Linked DNA regions of Saccharomyces cerevisiae S288C. The protein of the gene in region 3 interacts with the protein of the main gene of each other region in a pairwise test. Each region holds a gene or a part of one and is shown on either strand. Other genes may lie near its edges. The genes, in order: RIO1, NET1, TOF2 and FOB1.

What was found.
Region 1: the proteins of TOF2 (region 3) and RIO1 interact in a two-hybrid assay, tested with the Saccharomyces cerevisiae proteins (one study listed by BioGRID).
Region 2: the proteins of TOF2 (region 3) and NET1 interact in binary tests that used the Saccharomyces cerevisiae proteins (3 or more experiments, as listed by UniProt).
Region 4: the proteins of TOF2 (region 3) and FOB1 interact in a two-hybrid assay, tested with the Saccharomyces cerevisiae proteins (one study listed by BioGRID).

What each region holds. Positions count from the first base shown.
Region 1 is NC_001147.6:548,279-552,288, forward strand, and holds RIO1 (protein kinase RIO1), read right to left. Parts: upstream 1,969-4,010; coding exon 514-1,968; downstream 1-513. Other genes in the region: RTC5 (Rtc5p), read left to right, coding at 1-282; glycerol 2-dehydrogenase (NADP(+)) GCY1, read left to right, coding at 2,836-3,774. UniProt on the Saccharomyces cerevisiae protein: Required for the final endonucleolytic cleavage at site D converting 20S pre-rRNA into the mature 18S rRNA. Required for the final steps of cytoplasmic maturation of the 40S ribosomal subunit.
Region 2 is NC_001142.9:293,611-299,338, reverse strand, and holds NET1 (Net1p), read right to left. Parts: upstream 4,095-5,728; coding exon 525-4,094; downstream 1-524. Other genes in the region: cohesin subunit SMC3, read left to right, coding at 1-182; APQ13 (Apq13p), read left to right, coding at 463-879; YJL077W-A (uncharacterized protein), read right to left, coding at 4,454-4,540; ICS3 (Ics3p), read left to right, coding at 4,278-4,673; YJL077W-B (uncharacterized protein), read right to left, coding at 5,194-5,292; PRY3 (Pry3p), read left to right, coding at 5,358-5,728. UniProt on the Saccharomyces cerevisiae protein: Has a role in chromosome maintenance and is involved in mitotic exit. Inhibits the action of CDC14 by sequestering it in the nucleolus. Also binds to RNA polymerase I and stimulates rRNA synthesis.
Region 3 is NC_001143.9:458,373-462,970, forward strand, and holds TOF2 (Tof2p), read right to left. Parts: upstream 2,868-4,598; coding exon 552-2,867; downstream 1-551. Other genes in the region: chromatin-associated RNAPIII regulator FPT1, read right to left, coding at 3,263-4,324.
Region 4 is NC_001136.10:674,253-678,361, reverse strand, and holds FOB1 (replication fork barrier binding protein FOB1), read right to left. Parts: upstream 2,261-4,109; coding exon 560-2,260; downstream 1-559. Other genes in the region: alanine transaminase ALT2, read left to right, coding at 1-121; YDR109C (putative phosphotransferase), read left to right, coding at 2,695-4,109.

The DNA.
Region 1 (4,010 bases), on a different chromosome or scaffold from region 3:
TTTAGAAATACTGGTTACGGAGGTTCATTAGACCCTGGTTTATTGTCGATGGAAAGAAAGGAGGAAAATTCCCCTTATGAATTGCATTTTTTGATTCAAGATGTTGAGGTATGGGGCTGTGGTGGTGAGAAAGAACTAGAAGAGCAAATCAAACAGTTGGAATGGGAAGAAGCAGAATCTAAAAGAAGACAGCAAATTAACCTGAGAAGCTTGGGAGAAGACCGTGCCTTACTGGAAATGGCAGGTTTAGTTGGCCAACATCAAGGTGGCGGTTCAATGTGATGCCTGCCTTTTTTGCTGTTTTTAGTTATTGGGATTGATTTCACTAAAAATCAAGACCACTAAATAAGGCTATTGTTTATTTTAATATTTATTGCACTTGTATGAAAAGTACCAAACTTTTGATACTGATATTACACTTTTAGTCTTGAACTTTCTTCGTTAAATTGCTGACCTACTTTCTGTTCTTCGACTCCAAACAACGATTCCCAAATGTATTTTCACAGGGCCGCATTATTTCTTTGATTTCGTTTTTTTCACCAATTTTTTCTTGATGTGCTTCTTGACTTTTGTTTTCCTTTTTTCTCTTTTTGCATCTTTAGCTTCCTGCTTGCGCAATTTTTTTAAATCCTTGTCCTCATGTTTCTTCCCCTTTAAAACTTTTGGTTCATCATCGTCATAGTACTCGCCCTCCTCCTCGTCATCTTCTTCAGATCCGCTTGAGCCGTCTTCTTCATCATCTGAGAATTCCTCTGTGCCAGAACTACATTCGTGGTCAGCGTTATCAAATTCAAATTGCTCAGAAGCAGCAAAATTGCGTTCATTATCATGGGCAATCAAGCTTTTCAGTAAGTCAAACTTACCATCAGTATACCTATCAAAATCTCTTTCCTCTAATCCACCCAATGATCTAACTAAATGCAGCGATCTGAATATTTCATCTTCTGCCTCATCTTGTTCTGTAGATTTTATTGGTAGATTACTAGCAATGTATGCAACCAAGGCGCTAATATTGTTATAATCACCTTTAAATTTCTCCAAAGTTTCTGATATGACAAATTGAAAAATAACCCTTTCAGGGAAAATACTTATACCCATCTTCTCGAAATAAAGGTTAACGTTTTTGATATCCATCCTTAAAAAATCTAAACTCATTGGATGTTCAGGTTCCACACTTTGGGAAACATCGATCATATATAGTTTATCATCATGAACTATGGTGTTATACTCTGACAAATCGGCATGAACCAGGCGACAAACTTGGTACAGCAATCTCATATATGCCACCATTGTGTGATAATAATGGAAAATTTCATCACGATTCTTGTACGGATAATCTTTTAATTTAGGTGAGGCAAATCCATTACCTCGGCTTAAAAATTCCATAACTAAGACGTTGTTCTTAACTTCTATTGGCTTAGGAGCTGGAATGACGCCACTTTGATAAATTCTTTTCAGGTTCCTAAATTCCTTTTCAGCCCAAATTTTAATCATTTTCCTTGGATTATGTTGAGATCTGGAATTTCTAAATCTAAATTCACCATCAACATATCTTTCACGATCTTTGAAGACTAGGATAGAGGTCTTATAAATCTTAATGGCATATTCTGCACGGGATCCGTCTGTCTCTAAAACTTCATACTGGCCTGTTTCCTCATCTATTACGGGTGCCTTACCGGTACCTGCAAAAGCGTGGTAAACATTAGCTTCTTTCCCAGTACTTAAGCAACCGTTCAAATCTGCAATCACACCTCTGGTGACCATAGACTTCAAAAATCTCATAGTTCTCGGATCTAAGACATTTTCCACAGTCGCCCTATTTGCTTTATCCTTTGATGTTTTCGCTCTGCTGAATGATAATTCATCAGTTTTTATTTTGTGACTATACTTCTCTAAGAGCTGATTATTAATATGGTCCGAGGCACCTTGCGACACAGACAATGAATCAAATTTATCTTCCAAGGACATGACCTTCTAAAAATAACGGAGTTTGAATCTCTAAATCTGTTTTAACTTCTTTTTACTATTATTTTTAGTCTTAGTATCTCATCTCATCTCAATTTCTATATTCCACTATAAAATTTTTCACTCTTTCTGCGCGCGCCAATGTCCCCGCAACTACTCAATAGGTAACATGAGAATATTTCAGTTCGTAAGAGAGAAGAGATGAAGTTATTTGGGCTCTTTGCTCGAGGTTACAGAAGGGCCGCATTAGAGTGAATGAGCTGATGATATTTCGCCCAGTTCTACATTTTTTTTTTTTTGGAAGTATGACCTCTGTTAAATTTTTTTTTTTTTAAATTTCACTTTCTAAAGTCCCAGAAATCCGCTTGAATGTCTTACATATTGCAATGGATATGCTTGGGTGATCATACTTCCTGGCTTTAGATATTTGAAACTTAACTCTTGTCAACAAACTTCCTATGGAGTGTATAAGAATTGTAAGTTATAACACCGGCGAACAATCGGGGCAGACTATTCCGGGGAAGAACAAGGAAGGGCGGTCTTTTCTCCCTCATTGTCATAGCAAGGTCATTTCGCCTTCTCAGAAAGGGGTAGAATCAATCTAGCACGCAGATTGCAAACACGGCTTAATAATATGCCTATCAGGCATTCACCCGTGTGACGAATCGCACACCGCTGCTCTCCTTAATTCCCTAGAGTAGAAACCGAGCTTTCAGGAAAAGACTACGGCAGTAAAGAATTGCTTTACTGGGCGTATAAAACCGGGAGAATCAAGACATTCTAATGACTTGATTCAGGATGAGAGCTTAATAGGTGCATCTTAGCAAGCTAAAATTTGGACAGCTCTCATTACTAAATTAAGATAGAAAAATGCCTGCTACTTTACATGATTCTACGAAAATCCTTTCTCTAAATACTGGAGCCCAAATCCCTCAAATAGGTTTAGGTACGTGGCAGTCGAAAGAGAACGATGCTTATAAGGCTGTTTTAACCGCTTTGAAAGATGGCTACCGACACATTGATACTGCTGCTATTTACCGTAATGAAGACCAAGTCGGTCAAGCCATCAAGGATTCAGGTGTTCCTCGGGAAGAAATCTTTGTTACTACAAAGTTATGGTGTACACAACACCACGAACCTGAAGTAGCGCTGGATCAATCACTAAAGAGGTTAGGATTGGACTACGTAGACTTATATTTGATGCATTGGCCTGCCAGATTAGATCCAGCCTACATCAAAAATGAAGACATCTTGAGTGTGCCAACAAAGAAGGATGGTTCTCGTGCAGTGGATATCACCAATTGGAATTTCATCAAAACCTGGGAATTAATGCAGGAACTACCAAAGACTGGTAAAACTAAGGCCGTTGGAGTCTCCAACTTTTCTATAAATAACCTGAAAGATCTATTAGCATCTCAAGGTAATAAGCTTACGCCAGCTGCTAACCAAGTCGAAATACATCCATTACTACCTCAAGACGAATTGATTAATTTTTGTAAAAGTAAAGGCATTGTGGTTGAAGCTTATTCTCCGTTAGGTAGTACCGATGCTCCACTATTGAAGGAACCGGTTATCCTTGAAATTGCGAAGAAAAATAACGTTCAACCCGGACACGTTGTTATTAGCTGGCACGTCCAAAGAGGTTATGTTGTCTTGCCAAAATCTGTGAATCCCGATCGAATCAAAACGAACAGGAAAATATTTACTTTGTCTACTGAGGACTTTGAAGCTATCAATAACATATCGAAGGAAAAGGGCGAAAAAAGGGTTGTACATCCAAATTGGTCTCCTTTCGAAGTATTCAAGTAATTGTTTTTGCGTGTTTCTCGTATGATTGTAATATGTAGATAAATTAAACATAAGTATATCAAATGTCGATATTCTTAAGACTGTTTCGTAAATATGTTAAATACCGGATGTGACTACATATAAAAAGTGCGCCTTTTACAGTGATAATTAGCGTCAATCAATAAAATATTTGTAAAATAGGAAGCGAAATCCCGCAGATGCCAGAATAGGTGGTGTATAAGGCAAGAAAACTTTAC
Region 2 (5,728 bases), on a different chromosome or scaffold from region 3:
TTCTAAAAGAACTGTCAAAAAATGCCCAGTTTATTTGTACGACGTTCAGAACAGATATGTTGCAAGTTGCAGACAAATTTTTCCGTGTTAAGTACGAGAATAAGATTTCCACGGTTATTGAGGTCAATAGAGAAGAAGCAATCGGATTCATTAGAGGTAGCAATAAATTCGCTGAAGTCTAAGAGATATTTGAAACGATTTGTATATAAAAATATCAGTTTTGCTTACATAAATAGCTATTTGTATGTAATTATTACCATTGTCTCCTATATTGGAATTTTAAAAAATTTTCTTTTAAGATGATACTGTTACTAAACAATAATGTTAAATATAGTAACCAAGCTTTGATAATTCGACGTACAAAAAAGATTACTTTTCTTAAAGAAGTTGCCCGCTTGCTGGGAAAAGAGGTAAATAAGAATTGGTTTACATGAAGATTTTTTAATATATTAATACTTTTATATGCTTGATTATTTTTTTTTACTAGCTTTCTGTGACGTGTATTCTACTGAGACTTTCTGGTATCATTTTTTCTTGAAATCTTTTATTAATGATGCAAATCCACCACTTGGCTTCTTCTTCTTACCTAAAGCAGCACTAGCGGATTTCGCACTAATAAAACTTTTTCCATCATCAGATGAATCCCCTGAGTCATCAGAATCTGACTCAGATTTAGAATCTGAACTGGAATCCGATACGGAGTCCGAACTGGAGTTAGAGTCAGAATCAGAGCTAGATTCATCATCACTACTTGAAGGGGCTTTTGTTTGTGACTTCTCATTCGATTTAGAAGTTTTTTCCTTTACATCTGGGATGCCTCTTGAAACAAGATCAGATAATGAACTCAAAGAAGGACGAACTTTTCTTGGAAGGTCATGAAGTATACTAGACGGATTTGAGGTGGTCTTGGATTTAACTGACGGAGGAGACGACATGTCCATTAGCTGTGTAACTGGAATTTTATCAGGGGTGGCATTGATTTTTTTGTTAACAGATGGAGAGGGGGCTTCAATCTTAGATGAAGATCTAACTGGTTCTCTTGGTGTATTTACAACAACTCTTCTAGCCTTCCTGGATGTTGAAGTTTCCTCATCAGAAGACGAGGAAGATGAACTAGACTCGTCTTCTGTGGAAGAACCTGAGGAGCTAGAATCATCATCGTTTGCACTAGAATTATTTTTTTCATTAGAAATTATTCCAGGTGGCACGAGTGTTTTACTATTAGTAAATTTAGCCTTCAAATCCTTCAATTTATCATTTGCACTGGGCTTAGGAAGCTGAACATTGCCTTCTTTTAAGTGATCTGTCATTTTTAACTTTTTCTGAGATACCTGTTTGCTTTTGGAGTCTTCTTTTTCCTTCGAGTTATTTTTATCGTTAGCATCCTGTATATTGGCAGATGCTTTTTCTGGTTCCTTGGACCCCTCTGCTTTCTTGTTCAAGTCTTCACCTCCTATGTTTGCGCTTTTCAAATCTGCAACCCTAGAAGTTGTTTCCTTCTGCTGCCTATCAATCTGCGCAGACTCATTCTTGGCCTTCGTTTTAACATTTTTACGATTTCCTTCTTCATTGAAAGAGGTAGTTCCTTTAGTAGCAACAGAAGGAGACCCACCAACAACAGGAAAAGACGATGCTTGTGTTGCTGGCTTAGTTTCCACCTTTGTAGCTTCATTTTGCTTCTTGTTTGAATTCGGATAAAAGCTTTTCGCCATTTGTTCACTTATTTTGCTATTTGTTACTGAAGATTCACTCACGGCTGACTTTTTTTGACTATCTCTTTTGTCGTTTCTTTCTTCATCAACTTCTTTATTGATTATCTTTGAGTCTTTCACTGGAACAACACTGCCTTTCAAAGAATGTAAAGAAATGTCTTTGGGCCCATTATTAGGCACCGACATATTTTTCCTTTTAAAATCATCGTCTGATGAGAAATCTGTTTCAATCCCACTCTCTGACTCATCGTCTGTGGACGCTGCCGAACTAGAATCTTCAGTACTTTTCTGTGGGACTTCGTTTTTCTTGGCACCTGCCAATAATTGGGCAGCCCTCTTAGCCGCACTTCTTGGGGTTCGCTGGGGCAAAATATTTCTTGGATCTGGCTTAGAATTGTCTATGTCTTTATTCAAAACCGTTGTGTAAGGCTTTGAATTTTTGGAATTACCGGAAGTTCTCGAATTTTTGCCCTTAAACCATTGCGGTAGATCTGTATCATCACCTTCGATCATTTTGAAAAGATCTGACTTTGGGAAACTAGAGGAATCTGAATCTTGAGGAACAATACGAACCGTAGTATCAACTTCATCATTATCATTGCCATCGTCCTCAATGGTGCCGTTAATGATAGTGCCATCTTCCTTTGAAGCGTTGTTGTTTGAACTAACTTTCCCAGCTAGTGATTTCAACGTCCCATTAGACTTATCAGATGATGCAAGTATTGGCTGATCATTATGTGGAATTGTCGGCAAAATTTCCTTTTCTAAAAGTTTATCATTCGTATCTTCTTTTTCTCTTACCTGATTATCATCTAGGAAATTAGTCATTCTTTTCGGTTCCACAATACCGGAAGGTTCCGCCTGAGATTTCTTTTCCACTATAGTTTCCAGTGAACTCTTTCTTGGTGGTTGATGTTCTTGTTGCTTTCCCCAGGATTCGCCATTTGAAGATTTGGTGATCGAGGTATTGCTTGCCTTGGGAAGTTCTGCTAAATGCACATTGTGTGGCATGGCATCACCGAGAGGACTATTTTTCACCGGAGAGCCATTATTATCTGCGATGGAGCTTTGACTACGTTGCAAGGAAGCCTTTGAATGTGGTTCTGTTTCAGGAGTTTCTTGGTTTTCGCTACTTGAGCTATCGTCGGATTCGTAGTTCTCGCCATTTTCCAAGTAAGGTTTTTTCATTGGAATCTTTGCAGCTTTAGCGGGTAAAATGGAGGCCGGACTGGAAGGTCCCTCTTTTAACTCTTTTTCAATCTCTGAGATTCTTGGCTCGGGGATTTTCAACATTCCTGATGTTATTCTTGGAGTGGTTACGGGTGGTTTCCTATTAATGTCCTGAGCAGTGACAGCAGCTGTGCCACCATTAGCAAATGAAGAGGAAGAAGCTGAAGCAGAGAAAACCAATTCGTTTTTATGTGCGTGTTCAGAAACCACTCTCTGACCGGTAAGAGTAACTCTGTTTGGAGTCATGGTGGACATTATAGGAGTTCCGGACAATAGACGTTGCTGCTTTGTTTTATCTGGATCCACGGTTGCTGATCTGGACACGATATCTTCCTCGACGATGCTTGATTTTATTTTTTTACCTGCGTCAATGCCCGAACTAATTCTTATGGGAGGTGACTGAGGCTGCGTTGGAGGCGGCAAAAAGGATCTTTCACCAATGTCTTCGTCTTCGTCATCTGAGTTGTTGGAGACGATCTTCGAAGAAGGTGGAGGATAAATTTGCCTAGCCAATGGGGTAGAAACCCTCATGGATCCATTAGTGGCACTACGAATGGTTGTTGTTGTCGTGGTTCCTGTAGGTGGCCTCTTCTTGGCAATCCGAAGAACACCTGAAGAGGACGGGATTTGTTGTTGCGGCTGCACCGACTGGGGCGACCCGTTGTTCAACTTGGATCGTTTTACCGACTTATAAAGTGACACTGGTGCGGAATCGTCCAGATCTATCTCATTCTTCAATATAACTCTTACGATATTATTTACATTGAAAACGTCCTTTACCAAAAAATCCGGATCAAGGTCACAACCGCTGTTATCTTGCAAACTCAAAATTTCAATGTCTTCTTGCAAACTCGGGTACATTTTTTCACACTTATCGATGATTTCATCACTCAAGTTCAACAGCGTGTTTGTCGGCTTGGTAAACAAAAGAAACTTCCTAAACCTAGACTGGTTGAAATAGCTTGGCGTGAAACTCACATTGGCAGATCTCAGATTAGCATACTGCAAAGAGGCATCTCCGGCGCTTTGCGCCATATTAGTTCTGTTTGGCAACAATTGAGAAGATTCGGCGATGGTTGGTCCGTAGCCAAACTGTATTGGCATCGTCGCCTGAAGACTCGGAGGCACCAAGACCACTTGTAGCTTGTACATAGAAGGAGGCACGGTGTACAGTAATCGACTTCTCTCTGTTTCAGGCGAACCGAGACTAGGGATTCGATCAGCTCCGGCACTTATTTCATCGTGCTAGCTACTCTTCACTAGTTATTCAAATTGATTATTGACGCTTACCATGAAAAAGAAAAAAAGTTCAAAACATGTGGAACGGGTAACATAATGCACATATCGCTCCCTACGAGAAACAAATCTTATTTTCGAATACGTACACGTACATATCAAATAGGCTTATATCATTCTGACTCTTCACCAATCAGGGACATATCAGTACTACATCTGTTAATAGCAACGTTATGCACTATTTTTTTTCCAATTTTTTTTTCGTTGAGTAAAGTTCAGGTCGTACAGTGGCAAGGAACGACTATTTCTAAAAACTGTATTGCCTTAACCATGTCTTTCCCCTTGAACGCTATCCCTGGCATGTATCTGATAATTGCTTTCCCTCGTCTACAAACAGTAATTCCCCTGCAGCGAAATACTCCTGTTCGAATTACGAAATCGGTGATAGTGAAAGGCGCAGTGAGCGTGCCACGGATCTCCTCTCCGATGCACTAGGGTCCTGTTCCGTGCTCTGGTATCTCGATTAGGAAAGCGGAAGAAAAGAACGGAGGATACCTCTAATTAAGAGGGTCCGTTGTGTTGTGTTAAGCTCGGGTATAGGAAACTTGAAGAGAGGCGAAAAAAACCCAACGATGTGAGGAACGCGTCGCTATTGTTGGTAAGTTTGGCCGAAAAATTGTTTTTCTTCGCACATGGCTGGTTCTGCTGGAGGCGGCTGGGTGTTTATAGTTACCGCAATGCAGGTCGCTTCGTTTACTTTTCTCTGCGTGCTCGAGAACTGATAAATACTGGTTTAGGAAAACCGTCCACTTATGGATTTAACAAGGAGGTGAAAGGTAGGTACCATGGCAATATAGCTAGCAACGCTACGCACTAGCTGTGTGTGCTTGCTCTCTTGTGTTCGTCTTTCGTATATTGCGGGTTCCCGCGGTTAATTCAACAACAAATATGGTATCTAGGCAGGGACCCAGCAACGGAAGGATGTAATTGCTATATAGGGCCGATGAAACAGTTCTCATGTTTCAACTCGGTCGAAGAATTCTCTAAAACATATTCTATACTTCAAAGTTTTTAGCTTCTTGCTTTTCGGTAGTTGCCAAACCAATATCGGCATAAAATTATAATTGCTGCACCCCTGCAACTCCAAACAACTTAAAACAACTTAAAACGAAAACGCTTATGCTGGAGTTTCCAATATCAGTTCTGCTAGGATGCCTAGTAGCCGTCAAGGCACAAACCACGTTTCCAAACTTCGAGAGCGATGTGCTGAACGAGCATAACAAGTTCAGAGCGCTACATGTTGACACAGCGCCGCTCACCTGGTCCGACACTCTGGCCACCTATGCGCAGAACTACGCCGACCAATATGATTGTTCGGGTGTCTTAACGCATTCCGATGGCCCATATGGTGAGAACCTTGCCCTTGGTTACACAGACACGGGAGCGGTGGACGCCTGGTACGGGGAGATAAGCAAGTATAATTATTCAAATCCCGGATTTTCTGAATCCACGGGTCACTTCACACAGGTGGTTTGGAAGTCAACCGCCGA
Region 3 (4,598 bases):
GCTTCTCATAACTTATGTCATCATCTTAACACCGTATATGATAATATATTGATAATATAACTATTAGTTGATAGACGATAGTGGATTTTTATTCCAACACATATAAAGTTTAGAAAGATGACATAAAGATTAACTTAATACATGACTGGGTATACTTGAATTCTAAAATTTTCAACAAATAAGTGGTTGTTTGGCCGAGCGGTCTAAGGCGCCTGATTCAAGAAATATCTTGACCGCAGTTAACTGTGGGAATACTCAGGTATCGTAAGATGCAAGAGTTCGAATCTCTTAGCAACCATATTTTATATTTTTTTATATTGTGTTCAACAATGAACAATAATGACGAATAATCCAGAATGATATAAACGTCCATGAATAAAAGTCCGTTATAATCATATATAATTGATGCATACCGTACGCTATTAGTTCTCTTTTGTTGGTTGCTTTTGAAGATTTAATTATGATATCATTAACCAGTCTAAAAAATTACTACAATTCGCCAAGAATATTTAAGATATGGTTGAGAGATCCCAACATAATTACTGACAGACTTACTGGTCGTCTTCATCACTTTCAACATATTTAGGTGTTTGGTACTTCTTTGTATTTATTTCATTGTCATCCACATCCAGCATTGGTTTTCCATTAGAATTTCCAGCTGGTCCATGACTTGTTTTGAAATTAATTTTTTTAACTTGCACGTTCCTCGAATCAGAATCATCATCCGAATCATCTGAGGAAGAGCTATCCAATGAAGATTCAAGTGACATGGAAGAAGAAGAAGAAGGTGAAGAATGCGACCTGGTAACCTTGACTTTCTTGAGCTGCGGTGTTCTTTCTAAACTGGACGGTATCGCTTGGCCATTTTTTCTTTTTCCAGGAGTTGAATTCATAACTGGCAACTTGGGTGAGACTTGTTCTTGTTCCTGAGCCGTACTATTAGAAGTTGCCTCCACTTTGTCTTTACTATTATCAACAGGATCTCTCATTAATTTGACTACTTTTATGGTCGAAGCTGCATTTGGCGGTTTCCCAGCATTGGCAAAAATATCTTTTAGGGATCTATTCCCCATATTTCTTTTTCTTTTAAACTCTATAACTTTCGATCCAACATCATCAGTTTTTCGTTTCACTTTTATTTTACCAAATTTTGCGAATTTCTCACCGGAAATAATGGTATTGGGATCATCAAAGTGCTTTGTTTCCAGACTTACCCCTTTTGAAGTTATGGATTTGGGTTTATCTTTCTTCATTATTCCAAATTTTCCGTAATATGGTTCCGTAATACTATTCCTTTTTTGGACCTTAGTTTCCCCAGTTGGCTTGAACCTATTTAGTTTCCGAATAGTTTCTTGTATTTTTACGTCTTTTGCATGCGAAGTAGATGACGCAGCACCCAATGATTTATCAGGAAACTCCTTCTCAACAAGTCGAAATAGGGCTTCCTTACCTTGACTTTGATGTAACCGATTATTCAATTCTTTTTCAGGAAAAAAGGGAGGAGAAACAACATTTTTGGTACTTTGAGTACTTTGTACTGCATTTTCAATATCACTGTTGAATGAAACGCTATCCAAGTCGGAATTGATATCCCGAAATCCCATCGATGCCTTCTTAGAATTGTTGATAAACGAATCCGCACGATCATTATCGGTTTCATTAAAATCCTCTTCATCTGAAAATGCTTCTATCCTTCTACAATTCTCACCTATATCTTTGTCGTTCAATGGCAGATCATCACCTTTTTTGTTTTGAACTTTAATTTCTAAGGAACTCTTCCTGGGACTATGAGCACCACTAGAGGGGTTAGAATATTGTATATGCATATCAGAATTAGTATGAGAAGTAGTGCTCAATTGGAAGTCGGTATCAATCGAATCAAACGAAATTTGAGGGGAGTTTTCATCTGCGGGTTCATAATCAGCATCTTCTGACGAATTGCGTAAAAGATCTAAATCCTTTGATTCGGCCCTTTTAGCGCCATCATTTTTCTGTTGTTGAGTGGATGAAGGTATATTTTCTTTATTGTTATCACTCCCTTGCGTTACAACTCCCTCTTTAGCACGAGCGTGATCTTTTACGTCTTTGTGTACATTTGATGCCACTACTGTGGAAGTAAGTGGCATGGGACACTTTTCTTTATTCAGTGCATCATACTTGCTTGCAAGCGGTAGAATTTCGTTCATTAGCGGCGTTGATACTCTTGATTTATTAATGAAGTTATTCTTGAGCGAGCTTTTAGCTATTAGATGCATTGTATCTTTATTTGATATAGAAGATAAGTCTTCCTTAGAGATCTTTTTTCTCTTTTCAGTAACGATGGATTTTGTGGATGGCTTGTTGTCCTGCCGTCTCCGCTGTCTTGCCAATTGTAAAAGTGAAATATGTTGATTTCTACTCCAGTCTAATTCATCTTTTAAAATTACCAAAACCACACCATCATTTTCAAATACGTCTTTTATTATAAATTCAGAGTCCAAATCACAACCATGCCTATCTTGTAGAGATACGATTTCAATGGATTCTTTGAAATTTGGATAAAGTCTATCAAATTTAGTTAAAATTTCATTAGATAGTTGTAAAAGGGTATTGTCACCGTCCGTAAAATGTAAAAACTTTTTACAATTCGGGAGGTAGTTAATGAAATCACTACTACGATTCGACTGAATAGAATTTTGCGAAGACGGGCTCGTAGGAGAGGGGTCGCTACAGTTATTGATACTGTTGTTGTGCGTAATTATATCTTCATTATACTGGACCATAGGAGACACTGATTGTGGAGTATTCAAGCGTGCTTCGAGAAATGTGATAATATCTTGAGCACTTGGCGGCACCAGTACAATCTGTAACCTCCACATTTTTATCATTTACTTATTTGAACCAAACACCAAGGAGGGCAAAGGATATTATAAGAAATGTGGCAAAAGATTGGCGTATTTATTGAATGCTTGTATAATTGGGTAGCTAACCAAAAATGACTTGTTTTCCTTCTTCAGCGAAACTAATAAATAAACAAACAAACAAATTAGGACCATCTTGCATTTGAGATCTGAAGAATATGAAAAAAATTATATAACAGTATCGTATAATGCGACTTTTTTTCGTGATGCCTATGTAACAATAGTAGAGAAAAAACAGGTCACATTTCTATAAATGATTGAATAATTGGTTCTATATACGTACATACTTTTGGAGTTTTACTTTTATTCTCTTGATTTAATGGATGTAGATGCTATAAAAAGACATGTTTTCCCGGAAATAGTTAAAATGATATTTTGCCATTTTTATGCGGATGATGGCTATTAGGAGGGTTTTTAGTGATTTTTTTTTTTTCCACAAGCTGAAATTTTCGAGGTCTTTGTCTCGACCAGGCTCTCAAGTCAAAAGTTTCATAGTCTTCGGCCATCAATTTAAAATAGCTTTCAAAATTTGACTTGATCAGATCGTTTGTAGCACTTGAATGCATGAAATTCACGTTTGGTTTAGACTCAGGACCTTTATAGATGTAGTCTGTCGAGACAGCCTCATCATCGGTACTCAAAGATGAAGGAGACAGCGAATTTACCGGAGAAAAATGTCTTGATTCGCTTTCCAGAGATGCGGAAGGCTCATTGTTTGAGCACGATGCCAAACTATTTTCCTTAAGATTTTGTTCCTGGATGTTATACTTTTTCTTCATCGAGTTATGATAATTTTTTAAAGTTGTTGTCAAAAGTCGCTTATTCGATAAAACTTTGGTCTTTATGATAGCAATAGAAACAATATTTTTGAAGTTATCGAAAACCTCCATGTTGAACTGTTCCTGTTTTTTCTTTTGTTTGGCAATGCTTTGACATATTTTATCATATTGAGACCAAAATTGTTCAACGTTTAGTTTTGAGAGATCTCTATTCATTTTTTCTAGACAATTTTGTAACCAGGCCCGTTTATCATAATTTTTAAATCGTTGATCATTCTGGAAAACCTCCTTCCAGGAAGTGTTCTTAACCACGTTAGCGTCGTTATCCACGTACAACAAGGCAGACAACTTATTTAATTGCCAACGACCATCAGATTTCCAAATGAAAAAGGTGTCACTTATTTCTTCATATTCGAGAATGTAGAAATGGGGAATACAATTCGGCTTCAAATATGCGGGTGCACAATCTATCTTCAAATTTTCTGTTATGGTCTCAGAAGTTTGCAACTCAATCCCGTACAATTCTTGAATAGAATGCACGAACTTGATAACCTGAGTTAAAGTGAGACCTTCCTTAATACAGGTCAATTTAACACGTGGTTGTTCTTCACCAGCGTATAAGTAAACGGTTTCTAACTTGGACATGGTTTCCTTTCTTTGTACTTGGTATTTCTTCTTCTTTTTCTAGCTGTCTGTATGAGTACTTAACTGTAACAGAATAGTAATGGGTTCAGGCTAAATCTCTTTAATTATGGCACCTTTATGCTGATATAAATCCCTATACATTTCTTAGGGGTGTGTTTTGGTTTTTGGTCTCATAGTTTTGACAGCACGTTGGAACGCCACTCATGCCTTAAAAGGCCGGGTAATGATTTATAGTCCAATTATATCACAGCACTACAAGACGTCAAAAATTCAC
Region 4 (4,109 bases), on a different chromosome or scaffold from region 3:
TGGGTTCGGACAAAGACCCGGGACTTATCATGTGCGAACAACGTTTTTGGCTCCAGGGACTAAATGGATTCAAGACTGGAAAGAATTTCATCAAGATTTCTTCAGCAAGTATCGTAATTGAATGAAAAAAAAAAACTAATGATAATGGCTTTCTATTTGTTTTGCATCCATGGTGGGGGTGAAGTTTAAATTTGTAATAGTATACATGCATCATTCTTTACTAAGGGAAATAAGGAAAAGTATATATCTGCCTCTTGTAATATTGTTCAAGGAAATAAATTTTGGAGCATTCCTCTGCATCTATTGTTCAATTAAAAAAAAAAAAAAAAAAAAAAAAAAAAAAAAAAAGTAATTATTCATATAAAACCACCTTGCGGGCAAGATCATATTATCCAAGTTGATACTTATTTAAAAATATAAAAATTTTTTAACCGCGTACATTAAATACAGGGTCATATACAGGAAGAGCTTTCAACACCTTTTTGAATACTTTATATGCAATAGGTGCTTTTTTTTTTCACCTATGGTGACTCCTCCTTTCATTCTATCCTACATATTATTACAATTCCATTGATGTGCCAAAGTCTCTTGTTTGATCTCCATTACCCTGTTGGTCTAATTTCTGTCGTTTTGTTGACGGCGATTCCAGAGTTTGATAGTAGGAAGTTTCTGGTCTAGTTATTTCGACACTTTGATCTACTTGTGATGCACCGTCACTTTCTTTTTGATCCCCTTTTTCAGGCTCTTCTGTTCCCTGCATTGGGGCTGCCACGCCGGTGGACTCTATTCGGTCCTCATCGACATTATGAGGAGGCTTTTCTTCGGGAGTTAAGGTATTAGGTTCAAATTCGCCCTCTGAAGAATCATGTGCCAAATCATCATACTCATCGATATAGTTTTTTTCAGTTAGATCAAATTGTTTTTGCACTTCTTCTTCAAAGTTATCATTTCCTATATTGTTATTATGAAGAATTCCATTATTGTTACAGCTATTATCCGCTTCATTAGCAAGGGCAAAAGTATTGACATCTTCCAAATATATAAGACCTTTTCCACCTGCCATCTTGAACATATTACGGGAATATGTGTTTTCTATAACCCTTTCTCTCTTAGTCTCAAACTTGGCATTGTGACCTGGAACTTCACTAAGTAGTACTTGCACAGGTTTACGTTTCGTTCTCTTATTTCTCCTTCGGTTGAATCTGTAAGGGCCATATCTTAGGCACTTACCCCAATCGGCTAGACATTCCTTCTTATAACTATTTAGAGCATACTGAATGCACAGTATACCCCCAGTATGAAATCTCGCAGAACTCTTCAAACCCAAGCCAATACGGAGACCGTATTTTGATGCAATTTCTTCACAAATATCATAAAGATCATCTTTATCTAAAGTGCTTGATGTTACGAAAATTGGAACCCTAGCAAATGTTAAAAAAAGTGAGGAAACAACTGGGATAAGATGTTTGAATTTGGTACTCTTAAGTGGTAATAACCACATAAAACTAGAGCGATAGTCTCGGCATAAAAGGACATAAGAATATTTTCCCTCAATAGCTTCTCCATTGAAGGGTTCGAATACCTCAATATGTATCCTTTCCATTGGTAGTAGTTTATCGTACATGTCAGGACGTTTATATTCCTTCAATGGTTTAATTTTGCCCTTTTTATTACATTTTGAACAAAATTGCTGGACCCAATCGATGATGGCATGACTAATATTGGCAAAATGAGAAAATAAAAAGGAATGTAATGTTTTACCCCTAAGATGCTTATTCATCAAGTGTGTTGCCATCACCATGTCGTATACATGCTTTGGCTCACAGTATATTTTATCATTATTTCGGCCATCTCTAACATTTCCTTCATCATCAACATAATACTGTCTTTGCAAAAATAACAGCTTGTTTTCTGCCACTACACCATCGTATTTATCACTTATTTGTTGCAAGGTATCTGCAGTTAAAGATTTTGTTTTTATTAGTTCATATATTTTCTGCGTTAGTTGTCTTGTCAGAGATTCAAGAAAGATTGGTGTTTCTCTTTCTCCCCTTTCCAATAATTCTAAGTTCAAATAAGAGTCTACGTACTCAGTATATGATTCCCCCATAGAGGGAAGTATCAGTAGACGATCTTTTGAGGACTCTCTTGATTCCCCAGGTGACGTTGCCTTTCTTCTCTGCGATTTCCTCGTAACTGATTCTGATGGTACCGAGTCATCATCATCAAACAACACGTCATTGTAACGCGGTTTCGTCATTGTTATCCTCAGCACAAATTCACACTCACACAATCGTTAAATTGTTCTCCCCCCTGAAGGCTTAATTCAATGTCGTTAAAATGAATACATGCGATGAGGAATCACCTCGCAATTTTTTTTTCTTTTCAATATATCGCGAAAAAGAAAAAATATCAGTATTATCATGTAAATAATTATGGCTGACACCTCATATTGAATGTGGGGGTAAAGATACTCTGGGTTTCTTGTTTTGATATATATAAGCTCTTCCTGGAAACCTCGATCACAATGTTAGGTATGATGAAGAAATTGAACCTTTATAACACCCGTTTGACTAAATGCTACAGACCAGTATTAGTAAATGTGGAAAGCTGCACACCCAGACCGCTGAGTACAATGAAAAGATGTAAAGAGACGAAGGAACAAACATCTGCAAAGTACATTATTAAGGCTATATGAAAAGCAGGAAACGCCAAAACAATATGCAAAATGAAACACGGGAGCCAGCGGTATTGTCGTCACAGGAAACCTCGATTTCTCGCATTTCTCCACAAGATCCAGAAGCAAAATTCTACGTTGGTGTAGATGTCGGAACAGGCTCTGCAAGGGCATGTGTTATCGATCAATCTGGTAACATGTTGTCGCTAGCAGAAAAACCCATAAAAAGGGAACAATTGATATCCAATTTTATTACTCAGTCTTCAAGAGAAATCTGGAATGCAGTTTGCTATTGTGTTAGAACTGTTGTTGAAGAATCAGGAGTTGACCCTGAAAGAGTTCGTGGAATTGGTTTTGATGCGACTTGTTCCTTAGTAGTCGTATCCGCTACCAATTTTGAAGAAATTGCAGTTGGACCGGATTTTACCAATAATGACCAGAATATCATATTATGGATGGACCATAGGGCGATGAAGGAGACTGAAGAAATCAACTCATCTGGTGATAAATGTTTAAAATATGTGGGAGGGCAAATGTCTGTTGAAATGGAAATTCCGAAGATTAAGTGGTTGAAGAACAACTTAGAAGCTGGAATTTTTCAGGATTGTAAGTTTTTTGACCTTCCGGATTACTTGACTTTCAAAGCCACGGGAAAAGAGAATAGGTCATTTTGTTCTGCTGTTTGTAAGCAGGGATTTCTACCAGTGGGTGTCGAAGGTTCCGATATAGGCTGGTCCAAAGAATTCTTAAATTCAATTGGGCTTTCAGAGCTTACGAAGAATGATTTTGAAAGACTGGGTGGATCGTTAAGGGAAAAAAAAAACTTTCTGACCGCAGGTGAATGTATCAGCCCGTTAGATAAAAAGGCTGCCTGTCAATTAGGCTTGACAGAGCATTGTGTAGTAAGTTCAGGAATTATTGATGCATATGCAGGCTGGGTAGGGACGGTAGCCGCCAAGCCGGAATCAGCAGTAAAAGGTCTTGCCGAGACCGAAAATTATAAAAAGGATTTCAATGGTGCAATTGGCAGATTGGCAGCTGTTGCCGGTACGTCTACGTGTCATATTTTGTTATCAAAAAACCCTATATTTGTCCATGGCGTTTGGGGGCCTTATAGAGATGTCCTTGCAAGAGGCTTTTGGGCGGCAGAAGGCGGCCAAAGCTGTACAGGCGTTCTTTTAGATCATTTAATAACGACGCATCCAGCTTTCACTGAGCTATCCCATATGGCTAATTTGGCAGGTGTGTCGAAATTCGAATATTTAAACAAAATACTTGAAACCTTGGTCGAGAAGCGCAAAGTAAGATCTGTTATTTCTTTAGCTAAGCACTTGTTTTTTTATGGTGACTATCACGGTAATCGATCACCGATAGCAGATCCGAATATGCGCGCTTGTATTATAGGACAATCTATGGATAACTCAATTGAAGA